Kluyveromyces lactis: one gene and its partners. The protein of the gene in region 1 interacts with the protein of each later gene in a pairwise test. Links are inferred from orthologs where the notes say so. Each region holds a gene or a part of one and is shown on either strand. Other genes may lie near its edges. The genes, in order: PAN1, SLA1 and GTS1.

The links.
Region 2: the proteins of PAN1 (region 1) and SLA1 interact in binary tests that used the Saccharomyces cerevisiae proteins (3 or more experiments, as listed by UniProt). The link is inferred for Kluyveromyces lactis from reciprocal best matches to the Saccharomyces cerevisiae genes PAN1 and SLA1.
Region 3: the proteins of PAN1 (region 1) and GTS1 interact in a two-hybrid assay, tested with the Saccharomyces cerevisiae proteins (2 studies listed by BioGRID, with this or other methods). The link is inferred for Kluyveromyces lactis from reciprocal best matches to the Saccharomyces cerevisiae genes PAN1 and GTS1.

The regions. Positions count from the first base shown.
Region 1 is NC_006040.1:1,150,186-1,159,093, forward strand, and holds PAN1 (actin cytoskeleton-regulatory complex protein PAN1), read left to right. Parts: upstream 1-3,185; coding exon 3,186-7,160; downstream 7,161-8,908. Other genes in the region: RRM3 (DNA helicase), read left to right, coding at 1-382; KLLA0_D13376g (alpha-mannosyltransferase), read left to right, coding at 673-2,664; U2 snRNP complex subunit IST3, read right to left, coding at 7,306-7,806; KLLA0_D13442g (bifunctional 4-hydroxy-4-methyl-2-oxoglutarate aldolase/oxaloacetate decarboxylase), read left to right, coding at 8,142-8,849.
Region 2 is NC_006037.1:445,208-452,083, reverse strand, and holds the start of SLA1 (cytoskeletal protein-binding protein SLA1), read left to right. Parts: upstream 1-3,296; coding exon 3,297-6,876. Other genes in the region: LDB7 (Ldb7p), read left to right, coding at 158-604; SCL1 (proteasome core particle subunit alpha 1), read right to left, coding at 946-1,686; 2-hydroxy-palmitic acid dioxygenase MPO1, read left to right, coding at 1,973-2,494. UniProt on the Saccharomyces cerevisiae protein: Component of the PAN1 actin cytoskeleton-regulatory complex required for the internalization of endosomes during actin-coupled endocytosis. The complex links the site of endocytosis to the cell membrane-associated actin cytoskeleton.
Region 3 is NC_006039.1:1,493,332-1,500,991, forward strand, and holds GTS1 (Gts1p), read left to right. Parts: upstream 1-3,913; coding exon 3,914-5,065; downstream 5,066-7,660. Other genes in the region: KLLA0_C17050g (uncharacterized protein), read left to right, coding at 1-8; COM2 (Com2p), read left to right, coding at 770-2,194; MND1 (Mnd1p), read right to left, coding at 2,548-3,225; serine/threonine protein kinase ATG1, read left to right, coding at 5,628-7,660. UniProt on the Saccharomyces cerevisiae protein: Appears to modulate the timing of budding to obtain an appropriate cell size independent of the DNA replication cycle. Transcription factor involved in both heat resistance and flocculation.

The DNA of each region.
Region 1 (8,908 bases):
CGTAAATGGGCCCGGTATTCTATCGACAATCATGTTCCCTGTTGTGAAATTCATAGACAAACAAGACATCAGAGGATACCAAATTAAACTAGTTGAACCAGAAGAATTCTCTGTCGGAGAAACTGAGAAGGATTCTGCTGTCAGGAAACAATTACCTTTAATGCTATGTTGGGCAATTTCCATCCACAAATCCCAGGGTCAAACTATCGATAGACTAAAAGTAGACCTGAAACGGACCTTTGAATCAGGTCAAGTTTATGTGGCATTATCAAGAGCTGTCTCGAAGGATAGACTACAAATAACAAACTTTGATCCTCATAAAATTAAGGTTAATGAAAAGGTAAAGGACTTTTACCAAAACTTGCATAAACTAAAGACATGAATAGCTTAACAACCTCAAAAAAAAATTTAGAGTATGAATGAGCGCACATTATTTCATGTCATGGAGGAGATGTCCCAGTTGGGGCTGTCCTTAAAAGCTAAACTTAAATTATTCATCAAATCGCCGAACATTCATGGCATATACGCATAATGATAAATAAAGCATATATATATCAAAAAAGAAAAGGCATAAGGCAGTTATTTGTTGATATACTGTAACGATACACATTCGGGTCCTATTATATCGATGATAGGGGTCTGTGATGTTTTTTTTTATCTTTTGTTTATTCAATGTCAGTTAACAAGCCAAATAATCTAAAATATGTAATGAATAAACAAAGTAAATCAAATTGTCCGATGAGGCTGAGACTCTATCTGCACTCAAAACAAGAAAGAAATCCGAGAGACTATGCTTGTGGCCCTGAAGCGATGAAATTTCGTTGGAGAAGGATATTTAGCATCAAGGTGCTTGGGATTGTAACTACGTTGCTGTTTATATCTTTTCTATTACCAAGCGGAGCAGTACCAAATTCAACTGTTCCACATTTTGAAGGTAAAAGAGCACTAATTTACTCTCCATTTTATAGACTCGCAAGCTCGCTTAACCTCGGAAAATGGCTTTCGTTGGCTCTACATGCTACTAATAAGTATCATAAGATTGGTTTGGACTGGCCAACGCTACCCCTAGAGCAGAAATGCCGTTTTTATTTCGAATCAACATTGGAAATAAACCCAACATGGAATAATGATCATATTAAAGACTTCCATAACGACAATAATTTGGATGACCCCTTGGCAGAGCTTATGTTAGAACGGATAAGGATGTATGATTCTTGTTTCATCAGTGGAGGTTTATCCACATCCAAGGTGTTCAAGAGATCAGTCGTGAAGCCAAACGATCTTGAATCGAGATTATTCCCTTTCCTCTCAAAGAAGACACCATTCAGACATTTGTGGCCTAAAATGATACATGTCAATCCTTGGACGTTGATTCCTTCTTTTAGTAACCCATTGTTAGAAGGTAAAGACACCTGGAAAATGGATGATAATTATTCATTCTTCTATAATTGGAATAATTTTGCAGAGGGGAAGGGAATTGTACTGACATTGGGGCTGAGGCACGGTGACCAGTTCAAGAAGTTACTTCTCACTTTGGAGAATTTAAATAATACACTTCCAATACAAGTTATTCACAACGGATCTGAGCTTACTGAAGCCTTCATTTACGACATTCATTCATTCTTAAACGCAAAAAAATTATCACAGCAGGTTTATTTTGTCAATATTGAACCGTTAATCGATGCTTCATTCGTTGGTCAATACGTCCATTATTTCATAAATAAATGGATGGCATTATTGTTCAATACCTTTTCTGAATGTATTCTACTGGATGCGGACTCTGTGTCATTTGCCAGTCTTGAATCCTATTTTGATTTCAAAGGTTATCAGGACACTGGCATGCTGTTATTCAGAGACAGAAATATTATAGGCGAGAAAACTTTTATTTATTGTACAGATACATTAAAGAAGCTTTTCCCGTCTGTAGAAGAAACCCATTTCATGAGCCATAGATCTACTTTCCCCCTCGAACTTGTGGAGAATGATAATATCAATATCGATACTCTATCTATGGAAGAGCAGATATACTATAAGTTCTTCCATAACTTACAACTACATCACATAGATAGTGGATTAGTTGTAGTTGATCGAGTTAAAAAATTATCTAGTCTACTCATCTCAACTATGATGAATATCGATGGTAAGCTTCAAAGATGCGTTTACGGCGATAAAGAAATATTTTGGCTTGGCCAATTGCTCGCCGGAGAGAAATATTCTATATACCCAACTGAAGGTTCCATCATGGGTACCGTTAAAAACAAGCCTGATGATACTTTTGAAATATGTGGCACCCAAATGGCTCACGTCAGCACAGAAGGTACTTTACTATGGTCCAACGGTGGGTTGAAGAAGTGTAAGGTACAAGACTGTGCCGTGGCTGATTTCGACCACGACCCTGACTATTTCCAAGAGAAATACGGCAACCCTGTTGCCTTACAGCAAATGTATGATTCTTCATTATCTATCAGTGGTTATATCACGCCGAATGTTGGGCAATATCCCTGGGAAAAAATCAAGGAGTGTCATCAGTACACTTATTGTGCCACAGCAAAAGAAAACGTAGGAACCATAGTCAAATTCGATACCGATACTATTTCACGTTTACAATCTGTTTCGGATATCTGGAATTCAAACGTCAAACTTGATGATAACATGGAAATATAGTAGTGTCTTCATCTCCAACGCCATTAACTTGATCTTTTTTTTTCCTGTTCTTACCAACCCCCCTGGCCTTTTGATATTTTGATCATAGTGTAACTGTCATGGTGTAGTAGAGGTATTCATTAAAACACTTCCTCTGTCACCATCCTGTACTTACGTAGTTTAACTTAAACTTTTAAACAGATGTCTAAAGTGACATCAGCCGTATTATGTACCCTATACCCGCACAACTTGCTCCAGAATCATGCGAAGATAGCTCACGAAGTTTCCCCGAGGTGTAATCTGCTTTATAGACGCAGTATCACTCTCGGACTCGAGTGTTCTTGTAGTATCCGTCCACTGACACTGACGCTTCGATATTCTTCGTATTTTGTGATCATCGAATAGGAGACTTTGACGAAATTCTTGGTTGAAATGATTCCCCATTCAAAGGGTTTAAAGACAACTTTGATCTTGATTTAGGAGGTGCGAATCGCAGTATTGCTCAGCGAGTTCAAGGGTCAACCAACCATTTACTAATTGCTATGTACAACCAGTACCAGCAGCAGCCCCAGCAGCCGCAGCAATTTGGTGGGCAACAGCAATTCAATGCCCAACCTCAGTCAACTGGTTATGGGAATTTTTATCAACAACAGGTCCCTACTCAGGGCCAGCAGCAGCAATTCAGTGGATTTCAAACCTTTAGCAACGCTGGCGCTTTGAATCAACAGCCTACAGGTTTCAGTCAACAAACACAGGCGCAGCCACAACAGCCACAGCAACAACAACCACAATCACAACCACAACAAGGCATGCAACAACCATTCGGTAATCAGCAACAACAAATGCCACTGACCCAACAATTGACGGGATTCAATTCTATGATGCCGCAAACATCCTTTGGTCAGCCTCAACAACAAATGCCAATGAACACGTCTTTCAATCAAGGGATGAGCACTACTGCTGTCAATGCACCAACAGGTCCGTTACAGCCTCAACAGACTGGCTTCTATTCTCAGCAGCAGCCTTTGGAACCTTTGAAGCCAACCGCCACCGGTTTCATCAATTCCTTCGCGAATACTGGTGTTGACAACACTTTGAAGATTCCTGCCATTAGATTGTCTTTCATTACCACTCAGGATCAGGCCAAATTTGAGAAGTTGTTTAGATCGGTTGTCACTCCTGGTTCCAACACTATAACTGGTGACCAGTGCAGAAATATCTTGGTCAAATCTGGCTTACAGCCTCATCAATTGGCCAAAATTTGGACTCTCTCAGATACTAATAAGGCTGGTGTGCTTCTCTTCCCAGAATTTGCATTGGCAATGTATCTAGTCAATTCTGTATTGCAAGGTGATTCCATTCCTTATGAGTTGGATTCGAGAACCAAGGCGGAGGTTTCCAGTTTTGTTGATGCTATTAACTTCAGTGTTTCGAATGATTCGGAAGTCGAACAAAAACCTAAGACACCGTTCGATGACTTGACTGCTGGAATATCAATGATGCAACCCCAGCCTACTGGCTATATGCCACAGCTATCGTTCGGAAGTCAGCCTCAGCAGATGCAGCAACAACAACAACAACAACAACAACAACCGCAGCAACAAAGTTTCCAGGGTTTGACTCAGCAACCAACTGGTGGGTATGGAGCAGCACCTCAGACTTCTTTTGGTAACACTTCCCAAGCTTTACAACCACAATCCACGGGTTTCATGCCTCAAAATTCCTTCAATCAACCGTTGAACGCTCAAACCACTGGTGGATTTAGCTCTGTTTTGAACATACCACCACCAGGGTCAATGCCGCAAACATCTTTCACACAGCAAGCTCCAATGCAGACAAGTTTGGCTACTGGAGGTGGATTTTTGCAACCACAAGCTACTGGATACTTACCTCCATCCAATTTTCAAGCAACTGCGCCACTTCAAGCTCAGAAGACAGGATTTGGTAACAACGATCTTTACACTTCAGCTAATCTTGCTTCTAAGTTCATTGCAAGAAAGGAAGAGGCCATCACTCCAGAAGAAAAATCATTGTTTTACAAGATTTTTGAGACTTATGATGTTGAGAAAACAGGGAACCTTGACTCTGCAACTGCTGTTGAAATTTTCCGTAAATCTGGTTTGAACAGGTCAGACCTAGAACATATCTGGAATCTATGTGATACAAACAATAGTGGTAACTTGAACAAACAAGAATTCGCACTTGGTATGCATCTAGTTTATCGCAGGTTGAACGGTGAGGTTCTACCAAATACGTTGCCTCCAAGTCTAATTCCATCCTCGACAAAGATTTTAAACACAGTCAAAGATCAATTGAAACAAGGTGTTGATAAAAATAATAGACAGCCAACTAAGGAAGATGGTTTGAGATTTAGAAACAACGATGACGAATTACTGCCAAGTTCGAGAAATCGTAGAAAGACAATCGATCAGTCTAAGAAGGTTAATGAGAATAAGGAGAAGATTGAAAACTTAAAGAACTTAATTAGGGAAAAGAAGGAATTGCTTGCCTCGGAAAAATTAAGATTGGAAAATGACTCGCAAAGAAAGCAGTCTGAAAATGCTGATCTATTACGGTCAATTGAAAATTTGAAATCTCAAATTCAAGCGTTGCCCTCAACCTCAAAAAAATCACCTTCTGCAAACAATGCTGTGCCACATGATTTACAATCCAGATTTGATACTTTGACAGCCAGAATTCCAAACCTTTTTAAAGAAATTTCTGATGTGAGCAAAGAATTGGTTTCAAGTCAGTTGGCATTGCACCACTTGAAGGTAGATCATCCAATCCGTGGTAGTGGCCCAAACTGTAAAATCACTGAGTTAGACTGTAAGAATGCAAGGCAAAGACTGACCCTGACTGCAGGAATGTGTACTTTAGTCGGTAGACCTGAACCAAATTACGATAATTTGGAGGCACAAGCACAACATTTCAACGAAGGAATTGAAACTATCGAAAAAGATGATCAAAAGAACCAATCTGCCATCAATAACATCAGTACCTGGATTCAAGAGATCTCTTCTTCGGTGCAAGCTATAATTCACGGAAGAACTCCTTCAATGGGCCTCGAAATGGATAAATGGGAATCTGGTATCGGTCTAGAACCAGAAGTCAGAGACTTTATCATATCTTGGAAAAACAGAAGAAACTTCGATAATTCTTCTTACAATACCGCAGGATACTCCAACGGTATTCAAATCTCTTCTTCAGCAACCTATAGAAACAACGCTCGTGCGCCTGAAGAAAAAGACTCGTACTCAAGTTTCCAAACACCTGAAGAAAGATCTGCATATGTCAAAGAACAAGCTAAAAAGAAGATGGAAGAAAAATTGGCAGCATTAGGAATCAAAAAGAAATCAGGGAGTTCACAATCATCACCTAATCCTCCACAATTGACTCAGCAACAACAGCCTCAACAGCAGCAGCAGCAGCAGCAGCAGCAGCAGCAACAGCAGCAACAGCAACCTAACTATTACCAACAACCCAGTCAACCTGCTGCTGCGGTAAACAACTCCAATCTACCAAAAGCTAACGACGATGATGATGAAGATGAGGAGGACGAGGAGGAGAGAAGATTGTTAGAACAATTAGAAAAACTGAAACTGAAGAAAAAACAAGAAAAAGAAGCTAGATTAGCAGCCAAGCGTCAAACCAGCTCATCACCAGCAGAAACTAAGAATGATAACGGTCATGACTCCTGGGATGATGAACCTACACCAACAAACCCTACTGGAAACCAATCACAAGCCGGATCACATCACCAATATAATCCATTTGGCAAGAGTGAAGCAACACAGCAAAAACCCGCCTCTGGTGCTGGTACCCCACAATTGAATAACACTCCAACTGGTGGCAGAAATCCATTTTTCAAGCAAGCTCCTTCACAATCATCTTCGTTTGATCTGAAGGCAGCTGAACAGCAGAGAAGGGTTCAACGAGGCTTGGATGACAGTGACGGATGGTCAGATGATGACGAAACAGAGAAGGTAAATACTACAGCCAACAAAGCTGTTGATGTCAGTAGTACCGCTGTTCCTGCTACATCTACCGCGTCCGTTCCTGTGGCACCATCTCTCCCACAGATTTCTGCAACCACTCAAGAACAATCGTCTGTCGCTGTTCCTATTGCACCACCTTTGCCTTTAGTTAAAAGCGAATCATCCCTGATCCCACCTCCACCTCCATTGCCTACGTCGATTACTGAAGGGTCTGGTGCCCCACCAGTACCTATCGCCCCACCATTGCCTCAAATAAACAGTGACGTAGCACCTGCTGTTCCTGTGGCAGCTCCTTTACTAAAAGTAGGAGGAACTGCAACTTTAGCAGAGAACGAAGAACCAAAGCCGGATGATGCATCCGACGTACTATCTATCCCAGAGTCGGTGGCCTCTGATGAGGAAGATAAGTTCCATACACCAGGTGCTGAAGATGTATCTGTCGCACCTACTGGCGCAATCCCTCCCGCTCCTCCCGCTCCTCCAGTGCCGGTCATCCCTCCACCACCACCGATGCCATAAGTTATATGCTCTCGCGTCCGTAAATTCATGTATCTAAATTATTGAAAAGTAGTTACAGGATATGTACATAAATATCATTTGAAACTAAAAGTCTACGTTGTCATAAAAGAACTGCTCCGTACTTGTTCCTTTAGGAATGTGAATTTCATTTCTTCAGAAACGCAGCCATTGGATCAGCAAACTCATCCAACGGGTCAGCCACCGATTCTTGCTTCATGGGTTCACTCGGTACGTCTCCTGTTTTTGCGAAATCCTTCTCCAACTCTTGTCTTACAGCTTCCTCGTACTCAGCTTCATCGGATCTTGGCCTATAAAAAGCATGATCTACTCGTATCAGTCTTCCACAAACCTTGGCTCCATTTAGGTTATCCACCGCAAGTATAGTCGATCTTTGATCTTCATACTTGAGAAACCCGAACCCTTTAGATTTTCCAGTTGTCTGGTCGCGTACAAGTTTGATGTCCACAGGACAGCCGTACTGGGAGAATATGGTGAGAATATCAGCTTCTGTCAATTCGAGGTGCATCCCTCCAAAGTTTATGTAGGCCTGATCTTTATACTCATGATGCCATGAGCTTTCTGGCTTTAGAATCCCACATTCCAACTCCCTTTCACTAAGTTTCTGTATCGACCTTATCTGATTCATAATTGATAATCGTATTGGATCTTCACTTCCAAATATTCACAGTTGAACCAGCCTCCCAATGACCGCAAAGTACCAGCTCTATTGGTTATTCCTTATCCTTTCTATCAGAAAATTGCAGCTCCTTTTCGGTAACCGTCAAATTCTTCTCCGGTTCCTCCATTCGTGCGTAACACCTTCAATTGTCTTCTTGTTCTTATATAAACGAACTTTCAAGAAACTTATTCAAATCTTTAACACCTTTAAATTATCAACACTTTTCCATCGCTCGAAAGAAGTTAAATCCAGAGTTTATGCACTACCGGGATCGCTGCTGAATTATAATTCCCACACGCAGAATGTCAGAGTATCTTGCAAGGTTGAGACATTTCACTACTTGTGACATCTCAGATGGGCTATTGAATTTGTATGGAATCACTAATGGTGGATATTTCCCTAATTTGGTGAGAAGGTCAGGGTCTGGGACTATCGTGGGTAGGGCTTTTCCTGTGTTGTTCGGGCATAAAAATGCTACCCAAGATAAACCCAGTGTCAATTACATCGATAATGTGCCAGCAGAATCTATCGTAACCATCGGTATGACTGAAGATTTACAATTGAGCAGTGCTCCATATACCAAACCTATTCAGGGCATGTACGGTGGATTAATGTCTACAAGAGCAAAATATTTAGGCAGCCATGGTACGGTTGTATTTGGTAGAATCAGAGATATCGAAGAGCATAAGGCATTGGATCACAGCGTTTTCAGTTACGGTATCGGTACCTGTGCTCCAAAAGCAGTTTTGAAACCGATTTCGTATAACTGTGAGTTGAAGATTAAGATTAGCGATGGCACTACGGAGACAATTAATCCCGGCGATTATTTGGTATGTGATGATCATGGAATGGTTCGTATTCCAACTGCCGCCGTCGACTTAGATAAGTTGATCACATATATAGAAAAGTCTATCGAAGCCGATGACCTTGTTTCTCAAGACATAAAGGAGGGAAAACCTGCTGCTCAGTCTCAATCAGAACGTAGAGCAATTCTTAAACAATATTTGTAATTTACAGCCCTCCCCCGTTGATCGTCAGGAGTTGCAATATTCGGTTGCGTAGTCGAAAG
Region 2 (6,876 bases), on another chromosome or scaffold:
ATGTGGTGGTTTATGTGCACCATAATGAAAATTCGACTTTTTGTCGATTTAACATACAGCTGAAAATACATGATGAATAAAGGTCAAAGGCAGATCACAGATTCAAGATTGATATATATTCATATCAGTATTCATCTACAATAGGACGATTAAAATCATGGGTTACTACGATGCTATATGCACACTGGATACTTTAGATGGTGCAGAACAAGTTTCTTTCACTAAAAACCAACTAGCCTTTCTAGTGGAAGAGGAAATACAACAGAGGAAAGATAGAGACGAGTTGAAACCTAAGGATACAGTTGAAGGAAGACGTGTGCCAGTTCATGAATACTTAGGTCCACTCTCACCTAAGCAGGCAGAAGCAGCTGCATTTGCAGAGTATCATTGGGACCACCAATTGCTTGGTCCATACGTGCCAAAATCGAAATTAGAGTCTTTATCGGCCAACGAATTTGCAGCGTACTTTAGGAAGAGGCAATTTGAAGAGGGAAGAAAGGCCTTAGAACGTGTAAGCATGGTACCTGCCATTGATCTACCCATAATGGGTGGTGGTAACCCATATGGAGCTGCCCCACACAAACAAAAACACTATAGGAATTAATATCCATACTGATTTAGAGAGGCGGTAACTGACTTGTCATGATGATGTTATTTGATAGGCAAGGGAAGTGAACTGAACACGATACTGACAGCTGATGCTTGTGGCCATACGAATTTTAGACTATGAACTCTTTTAAGAAGATTCTCCAAATACCTATATATACATATATACTTTTATATGTATAGCTGAAAATTGTAACATTTATTGAACCATTAGTCGCTGAATGATTTCAAATACCTCAACATTCAAGAGTAGCTTGTATGAGATTTGATGTTGGAACTACAATAAGTGATATTGTTTTGAATTATATATTTATATGAGGGGGAAAGAAATTTTCTACCTTAATCTTGTTCAGCAATAGAGACCAATCTTTCCTCAATTTCATCAGCTGTTAGCGTAAAGAATTTATCCTTAATCGCTACACCAACTTCTAGATCATTTTTGCTGAAATCTGTTCCTAATGAGTCAATTAGGGTAGTGATACCGAACTCAACGGTTTTTTCCCAACTTTCCTCATCGATTTTATCGTCCTTTAACTTCTTGAAATGCTTCTCCAAAGCAGAGTTCAACTCCTGCTGTTTTGGGCCAGTGGCAGTAGCCTTGTACCCCGTATAGTAACCAGCAGGGTCACATTTGAAAATAGCAGGTCCTGTTTCCTCATCGTACGAAATAAAAGTCAAAATAATCCCTAATGGTCTCATGTAAGCTCTTTGTGTGTATATTTGCGACAAATTGGCCATTCTTTTAGCTAGTACGGAGCATGGGATATCATACCCATATTTATAACGAAACTCACTAGCTTCGGCTTTACATCTCAATGCAATATTTCTGGCATCTGGAACCGGTCCTGTGGCACAGAACCCGATATGTCTTGCCACTGGGAAAATATAGCTAACCGTCTTAGGATCTAAAAGCTTATCTGGGACTTTCTTCTGGCTAATTACCACAGAGGCGGTCTTGGACCTGATGGCTATTGAGTTTAGATTAGGTTGATTGGCCGCTTTGAAGGCATACTCGACTTGGTAAAGACGACCTTCTGGAGAGAAAATAGTAATGTGACGATCGTAACCTGCAGCAGACATAGGATATGTGGTTATAGGGATTCCCAATTGACGATTGAGATTCAGTAGTTACAGGAAGATCAATGAGTTGCCAGGTTCTTCGTATATCTTGGTAAAGGTAACTGTAGTGCGTTGATGTGTTTGCCACCAAAATTATTTAAAAGTTGAAATTAGAGTTAAAATTGAAATGAAATATTAAGGAAGGGGAAGACAACTGAGATAATGCAATCAATAAGAAAAAAAACAGCAACATCAAAAAACACAAGCAAAGCATCCGTGTTACGGTTTTGCGCTACCAAGTCTCAGAATGAGTCCCAGTCTTCTAGATCTAGAGACGCAACTAGCGTTCTACAAAGCTTATCATAACAATACTGGGAATGTGTTAATTCATAGCATTTTTGTCCCAACGATTCTCTTTACATCCATGCGTATATTGAACGACGTTAAGATCTGGAATGGCTATACCTTGACTCATTTGTTAGCGTTGTCATTTGGGTTGTTCTATATACTGTTACGAGTAGGTACCGGAATCCTTGCGTCGTTGATATTGGCACTGACGTGCAAATTTTTGAACGACGGGACTATTAAGATGACACAGACCACTGCCTGGATATTATTTGTGATCAGTTGGATCTTCCAGTTCATTGGCCACGGTGTTTTCGAGAAGCGCAAACCTGCGCTTCTCGATAACTTGGTGCAAAGTCTTGTGCTAGCGCCATACTTCATCCTTTACGAATTACTATTTATTTTAGGGTTCATGCCTGAACTTAAGAAGAATCTACAAGCTCGTGTTGACAAAGAGCTAGATCGTATGAGAGCGAGTAAATAAACTTAACCTCCGTTCGCCTAAACAGTATATATGCTCTATTTATGACTTCTATGATGATGACAATAACGATACTTGAACCCATGATGGAATTGAAACATCAATCACGTGATATAGAAATGATCTCTTTTTTTTCTTCTTTCTATCAGATCTCTGCGATTCGCAGTCACATGACTAGAACTGGGCAAGAACCCCTTTTTATTTCCAGATCCGGGATCACCGTATCATCATGTACGAAACACAACCCCGGGTAACCAAAGGATCACAGAAAAACAATTCGAAAACTGCAGGTTCTTGTACCACACTGCCAGGAACCGGTGCTGCGTGCTGTCGGTATTTTCATTTGTTCTTTTTCTGAGTGAAAATGAGAGAATCAGAAAATGAGAAAAGATTAGGCCCAAAATAATTGAATAAGTCTATCAATATACTTAGAACATATATAAATATATATATGTCTATACATATATAAGTAATTCGTATAAACAAGTTTTAGCTTGAATTGGGTTAGAAAGGCCAGACAAACTCTTGAGGTTTAGATAGAGTGCGCGAGTTGCATTGCAATTGTGCAAAAGAGAAAAAAAAAAACCAATCAAAACGGAGAAATAAAAGGAAATAGCATAATACCGAAAAGAGACGACAAAAAGGAAGTGTCTCGTATTCCTGCATTCTTTTAGTTTTTGATTTCAATTTAGTTTGGATAATTAAATTTGATTGGCGATTTGTATAGGGATCCTCTTGGCCTTGTATACAATCTGGAAGCTTATAGGTCCTTTTACTTGGCTCCTGACGCATTTAAATACCTACAATGACGGTGTTTTTGGGTGTTTACCAGGCGCTTTACGATTATTCTGCGCAAACAGATGAGGAACTAACTGTCAAAGAGGGTGATCTATTGTATCTTTTAGAAAAATCTAGCATTGATGATTGGTGGACCGTTAAGAAGAGAGTTATCGGATCTGATCAGGATGAACCCGTAGGTTTGGTCCCCAAGACATATATTGAAGAGGCTCCAGTGATTGGGAGTGTAGTTGCGCTTTACGATTATGAACAAGTTCAGAATGCCAATGAGGAATTGGTATTCCATGAAAACGATACGTTCCAATTGTATGACGATAGGGATGCAGATTGGTTCTTGGTGAAGAATACCAAGAATTCAGAGGTTGGGTTTGTGCCAGGTAATTACGTGGAAAAACAATCGCAGCAAGCTGGAGGTCCCGCTGCAGGAGTTACACAGTCTAAGCACCAAGCCCCAGCTGTTCTACCCCTTTCTGAACTTCCAGCTCCACCTCAGAGGTTGGACAGAGTCAATTCTCAACCATCATTCAGAAGCGGATCTACCCCTGCTGGCGCTGCAAGTACAGCAGATGCTCCAGGAGCTCCATCTACATCGACACCACCACCAGCATCAAATGCAGGCGTTGCGTCTCATACAACTATGCCAGTTGATGTTTCACTGCTCCCTCCACCTCCAAAGAGAAACGATACGGCAACCACAGAAGTCCAGCGTGAGTCAGCAGTAGCAGAACCTCCAGCAATGCCTCAAAGACCTTCTAATACTGAACACCAAACAAGTTATCGTGATGACCCAAGAGACAATAATAGAACTTCCCAAATAACTAGAGATTATTCAGATGATGAGCGTGATTACGATTTCGATGACGATGAGGAAGATCAACCTCCACTGCCATCTAGAAATGGAAGACCTTCAGCCTCGACCGCTGAACATGTTTGGTCTGTTAGTGAGGTTGATGGTCGTAAGAAATGTAAAGCTACGTTGACTGTTTCTGCTGAACGTATTCATTTCTTCTCTGCAAAGACAAAAGTGGATCAAGAATGGGCAGTTAAAGATTTGATCAACTATAACAATGAAAAAAAGCATCTATTTCTTGAATTTAAAAACCCTTACATTAACTTGGAATTGCATACTGGCTCTAACGATCTGGCTAACGAGATCATGGGCGTCTTGGGTGAGATTAAAGGTGCCCAGACAGCAGTTGGGTTACGTGAAGTTGAAGCTGCTTCAAGGCCTGCCATGACCAAGAAAAGAGCTAAAGCTGTATATGACTTTTTCGCTAACTCTCCTGATGAACTCACCGTTAAAGAAGGCGACTACATTAATATCTTAGATGACAGGACTTCGAAAGACTGGTATATGTGTGAATCTGTAGAAACAGGTAAAAGAGGCATTGTCCCCGCACAATTTGTCGAAACACGCGGATCAGGCTCATCAAGGCCTTCTGATGAAAGCCCTTCTAGGAGTAAGTCTAAGACCAGATCCAGATCTAACACTTCTAACTTTACTCAAAATTTAGTTGGCAGCTGGAAAGAGGATGCTGATCAAGATGTATCGAAGAAAAAGTCTAAAACTTCGAGCTTTTTCTCCAAGAAGAAGAAAACTGATGATAAAGAGTTCCCTGATCCTAAAAAGGTTAGAATTTGGGTAGACAGAAGTGGTACTTTCAAAGTTGAAGCACAGTTTTTGGGCTGTGTCGATGGGAAGGTTAACTTACATAAGGTGAACGGTGTGAAAATTGCTGTTGCTGCAGACAAATTGTCCGAAGATGATATTTTGTATGTGGAAAGATTGACGGGTATGTCTATGGAGAAATTCAAACATAAACCCAAGAGTTCAAATAATGACAGTAGTGCAGTAAACGCAGAACGTGAAAGAAGAAGAAAGGCTAAGGAGCGTGAACGGGAACTTGAAGAAAGAGAACGTGATAGACAATTAAGAGAGCAAGAACTTAAAGAGTTAAAGAGGGCTAGAGATCTCTTGGAAAGCGAAAGAGAAAAGCTGAGGAGTGCACAAGACAAAGAACTGCCACCTGTGAAACCACCAAGACCAGGCAGTGAAGCAAGCAAAACGCACCCTGTCACAAAGAGCTCCAAGAATCCCGAATACGATTGGTTCGAATTTTTCTTGAATGCTGGTGTTGATGTCAACAATTGTCAACGCTACACCATTAATTTCGAAAGAGAGCAAATTAGTGAAGAAATCTTGCCAGATATCGAGCCTTCTTTATTAAGAAACTTAGGTCTACGTGAAGGTGACATTTTAAGAGTAATGAAGTATCTAGATAACAAGTTTGGCAGAACAAAGGAGGCTTCTCCATCAACTGGATTGTTTACTGAAGCCGATGGATCCTTGAAGGTTAACCATACAGGTGCTCCCGCATCTGCAGGCGTATCTCATAATCTATTACCAGATAGTAATTCATCGAATAGAGATGATGATGCATGGACTGTTAGACCTGCTGCTAAAGCCAGCGACAGCTCCAACAAGGCTCAGGATTTCTCTGGGTCACTTCAAGATTTGCTTGATTTGCAACCTTTAGAGCCGAAGAAGAAAGAAACACCAGCTCCAGATGTCAAGCATCTAGAATCTGTCACCACTAACGGTTCGAATAAAAAGGAAGAAACCCCTCTGTCAGCAAATAAGACGGGTACTTCTTTGGTTCCATTAGATCCATTCAAAACTGGTGGTAATAATCTAATCCCTATTACTACAGGGGGATTCATTATGATGCCAGTAGCAACAGGCGGTTTAATGCCATTCCAACCGACTGGGGGGCTAGTACCTCTGCAAAGGACTGGAGGTATGATTGCACCTCAAACAACGTTTGGTATGCAACCAACAGGTACTGTCTTGCCAGTTCAAAAGACTGCGAACGGTTTGATACCAGCGAACACTGGAGGGTTGATGCCACAAACGACGTTTGGTGTACAACCCCAAACAGCATTCCCCGCTACAACCTTTGGTTCAAGTATCACAGGAGGCGCAATGCCTTTACAAAGGACTGGTGGTGCCTTACCTCCTACTTCCTTCAACACGCAAATGCCCGGTGCAATGCCATTGCAATCAACTAACACATTTGGTAATCAATTAACTGGAGGTGCTAATTTGCTGCCTTCCACCACTTTTGGAAACCAATTTACTGGAGGTGCTAATCTACAACCTGCTACCACTTTCGGAAACCAATTCACAGGAGGTGCGAATATACAGCCGGCTACTACCTTTGGGAACCAATTCACAGGTGGAGCGAACATCCAGCCAAACTTCAATTCTGGGAATCTATTTACCGGCAATCAAATGAACATACAACCCCAGACAACGTTTGGTAATCAATTTACAGGTGGTATCAATTTGCAAAACCAACCAAGCCTCGGAAATCAACTTACTGGCGGCGCTCTTCTTCAACAATCTCAGCTCTCCTTCGGCAATCAATTAACTGGTGGTGCTAATGTTCAACAACCGTTCAATAGCAACCTACCACAAACTTCATTTGGTTTATCTCAAACTACGACTGGTGGATTCCAGCCACAATCGTCATTTGGTATCAATTTACAAAGAACCGGAGGTATGAATACAGCACCTCAAACATCAT
Region 3 (7,660 bases), on another chromosome or scaffold:
TCCAATAGTACATCCCTGCCTCCTACTATAATATACATATCAGTTTTCATACAGACTAAACAGTTCAGATCTTTTAGGTCTAATGTGCGGCTTATCGCACTTTTTTTACATTTTCCCAGCGTAATTAAACACAAACAACAGCACAACCACTCCTCCCTCTCCGTCCAATGCCAGGGACTTCGGTAGATTTTATATGTCGTTAAAACCTACCAGCCTTCCCCCAGTCACACTCAAAGCCTTGATCTTCTCTCCCTTCTGGCACGCCGGCTTGCATTTCCGTGCGTTTGTGCTGCATTATTACGCATTTTACAATTTTCTCATCCCGTCGCACGGCCCCGTCTAAGCCATTCGAGACTGCAAAATTCCAAAAAGCGTAAAACCGTGTAAAAAGGGCTTTTCGGTGAGATAAATAAAAAAAGTACTAAAACCAACACCCTGTCTCAAGCAATTTTAAGGCAGAAAAGAATGATAAAGGTGACAGATTTAGAAAAAGGAAGATTTCTTTACATTCCTATATATAAGAACGGGATCCAGGAAGAGAGTATTTTTTCGGTCTAGCAGTTGGAGTTGCGGTTGCAATTGGAGTTTTAATTCAGCTATATTGATTTGTGTTTCTCTTTCACCTATCTCTAATATTTATTTCTGAAAGGGAATTATTCTGATTGTATTTAAGTCTCTCTTTGTTTCGTTGAATGCATGTTCTCTTACCTCTGATATCTTGGAATTGAGTCGAGTGTAAACCATCAGATCAATATTATATTAGCTAAGGATGAATCCCACGATGTATCAGAATGATTTTGTGACGATTTCACAGGAGACTCTGCGGGATGGCACGATGTTTAATTTGCAATTGAAAAGGACACCACCGGCTGATAATATGGACAATAGCAATATTGGAGCTAATAAGTATAATCAGTGGCAGTTTGATTACGAAGAGCAAGAACTGAGTAATGATTTGACCGGAAAGACCTTGGAGGATGAGATCTTCAGTTTCCAGCAAGGAACTTCAATCAGGGCCATGGGCGACGATATCAGAAGGTTATCGATAAGCGAGTACCATCGTGACGATCCAATGTACTATGAGTATGAGTTTTTCAACAAAGATGTGATGAACGGTAGTAGTAGTAGGGTAGGTAATCTTGGGGGCATGGGTAGTTCTAGGTCCGGATCTGTGTTTTCTGATGAGGATAACGAGTTTGATATCGACATGGATCAAGAGTCAATTTTTGTCAACGTGGGGTCAAAATCTGTGAACGATGCAACGCAGACAGTACCACATACAACGAATTCAATGGCATTGTTGTTATCTGGATTGGATGAAGATGTGTCCATGAACTTGGATTTGGACGATGAGAATGATGGTACTGGTAACAGTGGGGTGAAGAAACTATTCAAATTGAATAAGATGTTCAGGAACAACAACAATAGAGACCTCATATCGGATGATGAACCTCAGCAGATCTTCAAGAAGAAGTACTTCTGGTCCCGAAAACCAACGGTACCTATATTGAGGAATTCAGAACCAGTATCCACGTCTCATGGTGCTGGTCTTCCGCATGCGCATGCTGAACATGCTCCTGCCACAGTTTCTTCTCACAATGCGGAATTTGATGATGACGAAATGACCGATGTGGAGACTGGGAACCCATCGATGGCAGCAGCGATTGTCAACCCAATCAAGTTGTTGGCTACTGGGGAGACTAAAAATGACTCTGATTTGATAACTCTCAGTTCACACAGCACAAAGATAAATAGTCTGGAACCAGATCTGATCCTTTCGTCTAATTCGTCGATCATGTCTGCAGTGAAGAAGAATACAACGGGATCGAGAAGTATAAGCTCGGCATCCTCCTCTTTGCTGTCTCCTCCACCAATGGTACAGGTTAAGAAAGCGGAATCGTTATCATTGGCAAAAGTCATCTCGAGCAAGGATTCGATTTCAACGATAATAAAGAAACAACAAGGTGTGCCAAAGACAAGGGGACGGAAACCTTCGCCAATACTGGATGCTTCAAAACCATTCGGCTGTGAATACTGCGATCGTCGATTCAAAAGACAAGAGCATTTGAAAAGGCATATCAGGTCTTTGCATATCTGTGAGAAACCGTACGGTTGTCATCTTTGTGGGAAAAAATTCAGCAGAAGTGACAACTTAAGTCAACATTTGAAAACACATACACACGAGGACAAGTGACATTCTTCTTAATAGCGCTTATTTAGACTTTTCTGCCTTAACTTTAAACGATTTTTCACGCAGTATTTTGCGACATGATATGACCTCAAATAATGAAGAAAAAAAGTTCTAACGAGACTATTTATGATATGATATTGGGATTTCAGCATCTAAATGACATTCAAACTTCCTACTACACCTGACACTGATATCATATTTATCCCACCAACATTTTATGCCCTATACTATAATAATCAACTAAAATCACAAAAAAAAACTATAATTCTGAATATCAATCAGCTTATCAAGCAGTATATGAACATCGTATATGTATATATAGTATCCAATGTATCAACCCTGCTTACCTCTCGTTACTAAAGGTGACCCAACTTTTCAAGTATTGTTTCAAATTGATTGAATTCATTAGGAAGCTCCAACTCAACTTTCAAATCAGACATTTGAACACAATACGTAGATGAGATATGCCCAGTGATGCAATCAATGTTATCTGCAAGACCTACAGCAAAACTTGCCTTTTCAAACAAATTATGTTTCTCCTGTTTGATGCGCTGTGGAGTCCAGTTATTTTTGGATAATTCTTCATATTTGGAGTTCAATTCACGAATTGTCTTTTGAACCTCTTTCAATTTACTTAGCTGTGCACTTCTTTTCCAGCCGCGTCTATTCTTCAACGTATCACTCCTCTGGCCTTGAATTTCCTTCTGATACAATTCCTGACACCGAGCAATTTCACTTTTCTCATGCTCTATTCTTTTCTCTATGTTACTGGCGTCGCTATTCAACTTATTTTGCATCTGATTTTTGAAAGACCAATACACGTTAATGTTCCCACACTTTTCCACACTGATCAATCCATCTTCATCAATCATCTTTTGTACTAATACCTTCACTAACATGGAAGATATGCCACATTTCTTGGGGATATATTTCTCTAATTCCTTCATGTTGTATACGGTATGTTCTTCTTGGAAAAACCTTAGGATACGTGCTTTTTTCTCGGCAAGCGAAACGGTATTCTTACCTGGGGCCATGTTGAATTATTTGAACCTTTTAATAGACTTAATTGAAGCTGATGTCTTTGATGTGATGATGGTTCTTCTTCTGTTTGTTTTTAACCGCTGAACCTTGATAAAAATATATAAAAGAAGACGAAATGTCATTTTCCATGGGGAAATTTATAAACAGTAACATATTTTGGTGAAAGAAGTATCAGAATCGAGAGTAATTGAATCAATTCAGAGATGCCATATTAATAGCCATGGTTGCTTATAATTGGGGAGGCGGTTAGCTGCTATATACGAAACATTAAAATAGATCCTATTCTCCGGCTAAATGACAGACCACGTGAGAATAAACTCTCCTGAGGCAATATGATAGTACATAGCTTAAGCCTGTCTATCACGTCATTATTCAAAAGGTATCCAAGATGGTATATCGTACTGACTGCTTCCAATAGACTTACGTTTGTTGAACAAAAATAGCTCTTGAAATATTCTATGCGGTTGAAATTCCGAACAGGAACAGAAGTTCTATGAATGAACGAAGCATAAAATGGTGAAAGTGAAGAACGGATATTGAAAATAAAAAAAAATACTTCATATTATAAGATTATAAAGACCCAACGCTAGAATTACGTTTATATCAAATAGGGGTCCCAAATTGGACTAGTCGAGTTTAGGTAAGGTTTATTGAGGAGATACTGAAGCGAGGAAACCAAAAATGAGACGATCAAGAGGTGAATCTGTAGAACATGATTTAAAGTTTTTGCTTAACGCTGGTGAGAATTCAAATAAATGTGGTGAATGTGGGACACCATTCCCTACCTACTGTTCAGTGAACTTGGGTGTATTCTTGTGCGGTCGGTGTGCTTCCGTACATAGGAAAGTGTTAGGCAGCAGAGAAGATGGTGCTACTAGTATCGTGAAATCTTTATCTCTTGATAGATGGTCTAAGCGTGACGTTCAAACTGTTGCCGATCTTGGAGGAAACAAACATAACAGCAGTTTTTGGAACCCTAAGAAAGAACCTTTCCCATTTGACGGTGACGAGGATCGTACTGCCGTTGAAATGTTTATCAGGGATAAATATTTAAAGGGTAAGTTCAGACATACCGCTGTCAAGGTGGAAGATTTCAATCTAGAGGATGATTCGTCACAATTGGACTACAAGTCATCCCGCCCATCATCTGCGTCCGGGTCCAGAAGAAACCGTTCTGCCTCATCTGCCAGCAGTAGACCAAGATCAAGAGAAGGAGACAGACCTCCGCTTCCAAAAAGGCCGGACAACAAAGTGCAAGAAGCCGTTTTCGATGGAACAAGTGAACCAAGCCTACCTAGTACAGCATCGGCAGAACCTCGCCCAGCAGTATTCGATGGGGTACAACAATACTATGATCCAACTACCGGCCAAATTTATGTAGATCAAAACTCCTATGCGGCAATGCAGCAGGCCCAGGTACAAGCATTGGCACAACAAGTTCAACCTCAGTTTACACAACAGGTTCAACCTCAGTTTACACAACAAGTGCAACCCCAATTCACACAGCAATTACAACCTCAGTTCACCCAACAGGTACAGCCTCAATTCACTGCTCAACCATCGATAGATAAGAACACACTATTATCACTGTATCAAAGACCAGATTTATATTCTAGTGCCGTAGAAATCAAACCGGATAATCCACAATACCAACAGATCCTGAATCTCCAAAAACAACAGCAGGACCAACAACAGCAGCAACAGCAACTGCTACAACAACAGCAGCTACAACAGCAGCAACAGCAACAGCTCCTGCAGCAACAACAGTTACAACAAATGCAATACCAACAACCACAACAGTACCAACAACAATTCTACCCCCCATTCCAATAGATCATCATCCCTTGGCCTTCTTTGCAGCTGCAGCTGCAACTGCACATCTGCTACCGCACTACGGTTTAATCTCTCATACCTATGTTTGCCTATATAATACGTAAATATGGCTAAAACCAAAACACCGCTACAACTAATATCTAACTTTGTCTTCCTCCTCTGACGTTTCACAACGTCTGCTATACACTCTTATCCGGAACATCCACGATCTACTTACTACCTAGCTATCACCACTATTATCTTACTGACCATCAAAAAAAAAACCTCCCATTGACTCATAACCAATCATATCTTATTTGCACTTAACGAGCGTTTTCTTAAAACCGTTCCACCAAGCACCAGTGTCTTTCCACTGCCTTTACTGTGTACGTTTTCTGCGATATATCTGTCTTTCCTTCTTTGTTTCTTTATTTCTATATAAAGTTCAAAATGACTTATTACAAACTAAGTTTTGATCCTTAAAAACCATTTATAAGAAATAAGAACGCCCCCCCTTGTAAAGAAAGAGGCCAAAGAATGACAACGGTCTGGCACTGAGTAGTCATATGGAAAGCGGTTGAGCATGAGTTCAGAATCGCACGACAAAGTTGTGGCGAAAGCCATTCGTTTGCCGACAGAAAACTATTCCGTGGAGAAGGAGATCGGTAAGGGTTCATTCGCGGTTGTTTACAAAGGTCTATCGTTAAGAGATGGGAGAAACATAGCTATCAAGGCCGTGTCGAGGTCGAAGCTAAAGAACAAGAAGCTTTTGGAGAATTTGGAGGTCGAAATTGCCATTTTAAAGAAGATCAAACATCCGCATATTGTGGGGTTAATAGATTGTGAGCGGACTTCATCTGATTTCTATTTGATCATGGAATACTGTGCACTAGGTGATTTAACGTTTTTCATAAAGAAGAGGAAGAACCTAGTGCTCAAGCATCCTTTGATAAAGACTGTTTTTGAACATTACCCGCCACCAAGTACGGAACATAATGGATTAAATCGGGTTCTTGTGGTAAACTATTTACAACAACTATCCTCTGCGCTTAAGTTTTTGCGATCTAAGAATCTAGTACACAGAGATATCAAGCCACAGAATTTATTGTTATGCACACCGTTATTAGATTATAATGATCCGAAGACGTTTCATGAGTTGGGGTTTGTGGGAATCTACAATTTACCCATCTTGAAAATCGCGGATTTTGGGTTCGCTAGATTCTTGCCTAATACTTCTCTAGCAGAAACTTTATGCGGGTCACCATTGTACATGGCTCCAGAAATATTAAACTATCAAAAATACAATGCCAAGGCTGATCTTTGGTCAGTAGGAACGGTGCTATACGAAATGTGTTGCGGGAGACCGCCTTTTAAAGCATCAAACCATCTCGAGTTGTTTCAAAAGATTAAAAAGGCCAACGATGAGATTACAGTGCCCTCAAATTGCTATATTGAACCGAAACTGTTCAATCTAATAAGAGGGTTGCTAACTTTTGACCCGGATTCCCGTATGGGGTTCACTGATTTTTTCAATAACGAAGTAGTGACAGAAGATTTGACAAGGTACGAGCAATCGTATGAGCCAGACTTAGAATCCAAGAGTAAAGATGTCGCTGAAAGTAATATGTTTGTTTCAGAATATCTAGTCAAACCATTAAAGCAGCAGGAATCTGCACATATACCACCAACTCAAACTGACGAGAACACTAGTGTACAAACTGGCGTTAGGCGAACCTCAGGTAAAGAGAGGCTCGCAACAAACCATCCACCACATCAACAGATCCACCCAGAAGATAACTCTCAAAACCCAGAACAAAGCTACCAATCTGCAAGTCAGAAGAGGCTAAAGAGCTCTTACAATGATTTGATTTTGGAGAAGGAGTATGTTGTTGTGGAGAAGAAAACTGTCGAAGTAAATTCTTTGGCTGATGATTTTGCTAATAATGGACCCATAACAAACAACCAAGGGGCACAAGTTATAAAACCCTTGAGATACAGAACGTCTTCTTCTAGCGATGCATCAGGAGGAAGAAGAGCCTCTTTAGTGGAGAGAAGGCTTTCGATATCGTCATTAAGCCCGTCGAATGCGTTATCGAAGGCACTAGGGTTAGCTTCTGTAAGGCTTTTCGGATATCAACATAATACAAAGGCTACTTCTTCGCCACCTCAACAAACACTACTGAATCCTCAGATATTTCAGGAGCTAACGGAAAATGCAGTATTGAGGGCTGATCATAAACTAAATCCTTTCAGCGAACAAATGTTGGATTCCAACATAACTCCTGCAGTGGAATCGCTTGCGGCCAAAGCATTTGTCATGTATTCGTTCGCTGAAATGAAATTCTCTCAAATTCTTCCAACTCCTCCTTCTTCAACCGACTATGACCCACTGTCAGATAAACGTCTAAGTAACGGAAGTTGCGCGATAGAGGATGAAGAAGATTTGGATCAAGGCCGCCCACCTTCTAATCAAACTTTGACCTCAGCAACAACAAAGATTTCATCAGCCACCAATGTTGACACTCAAATACCGGCCCCCGAGTTGAAAAAGTTGTGCACCGAATCTTTACTTCTTTATCTAAAAGCTCTTACTATTTTAGCTGCTTCAATGAAATT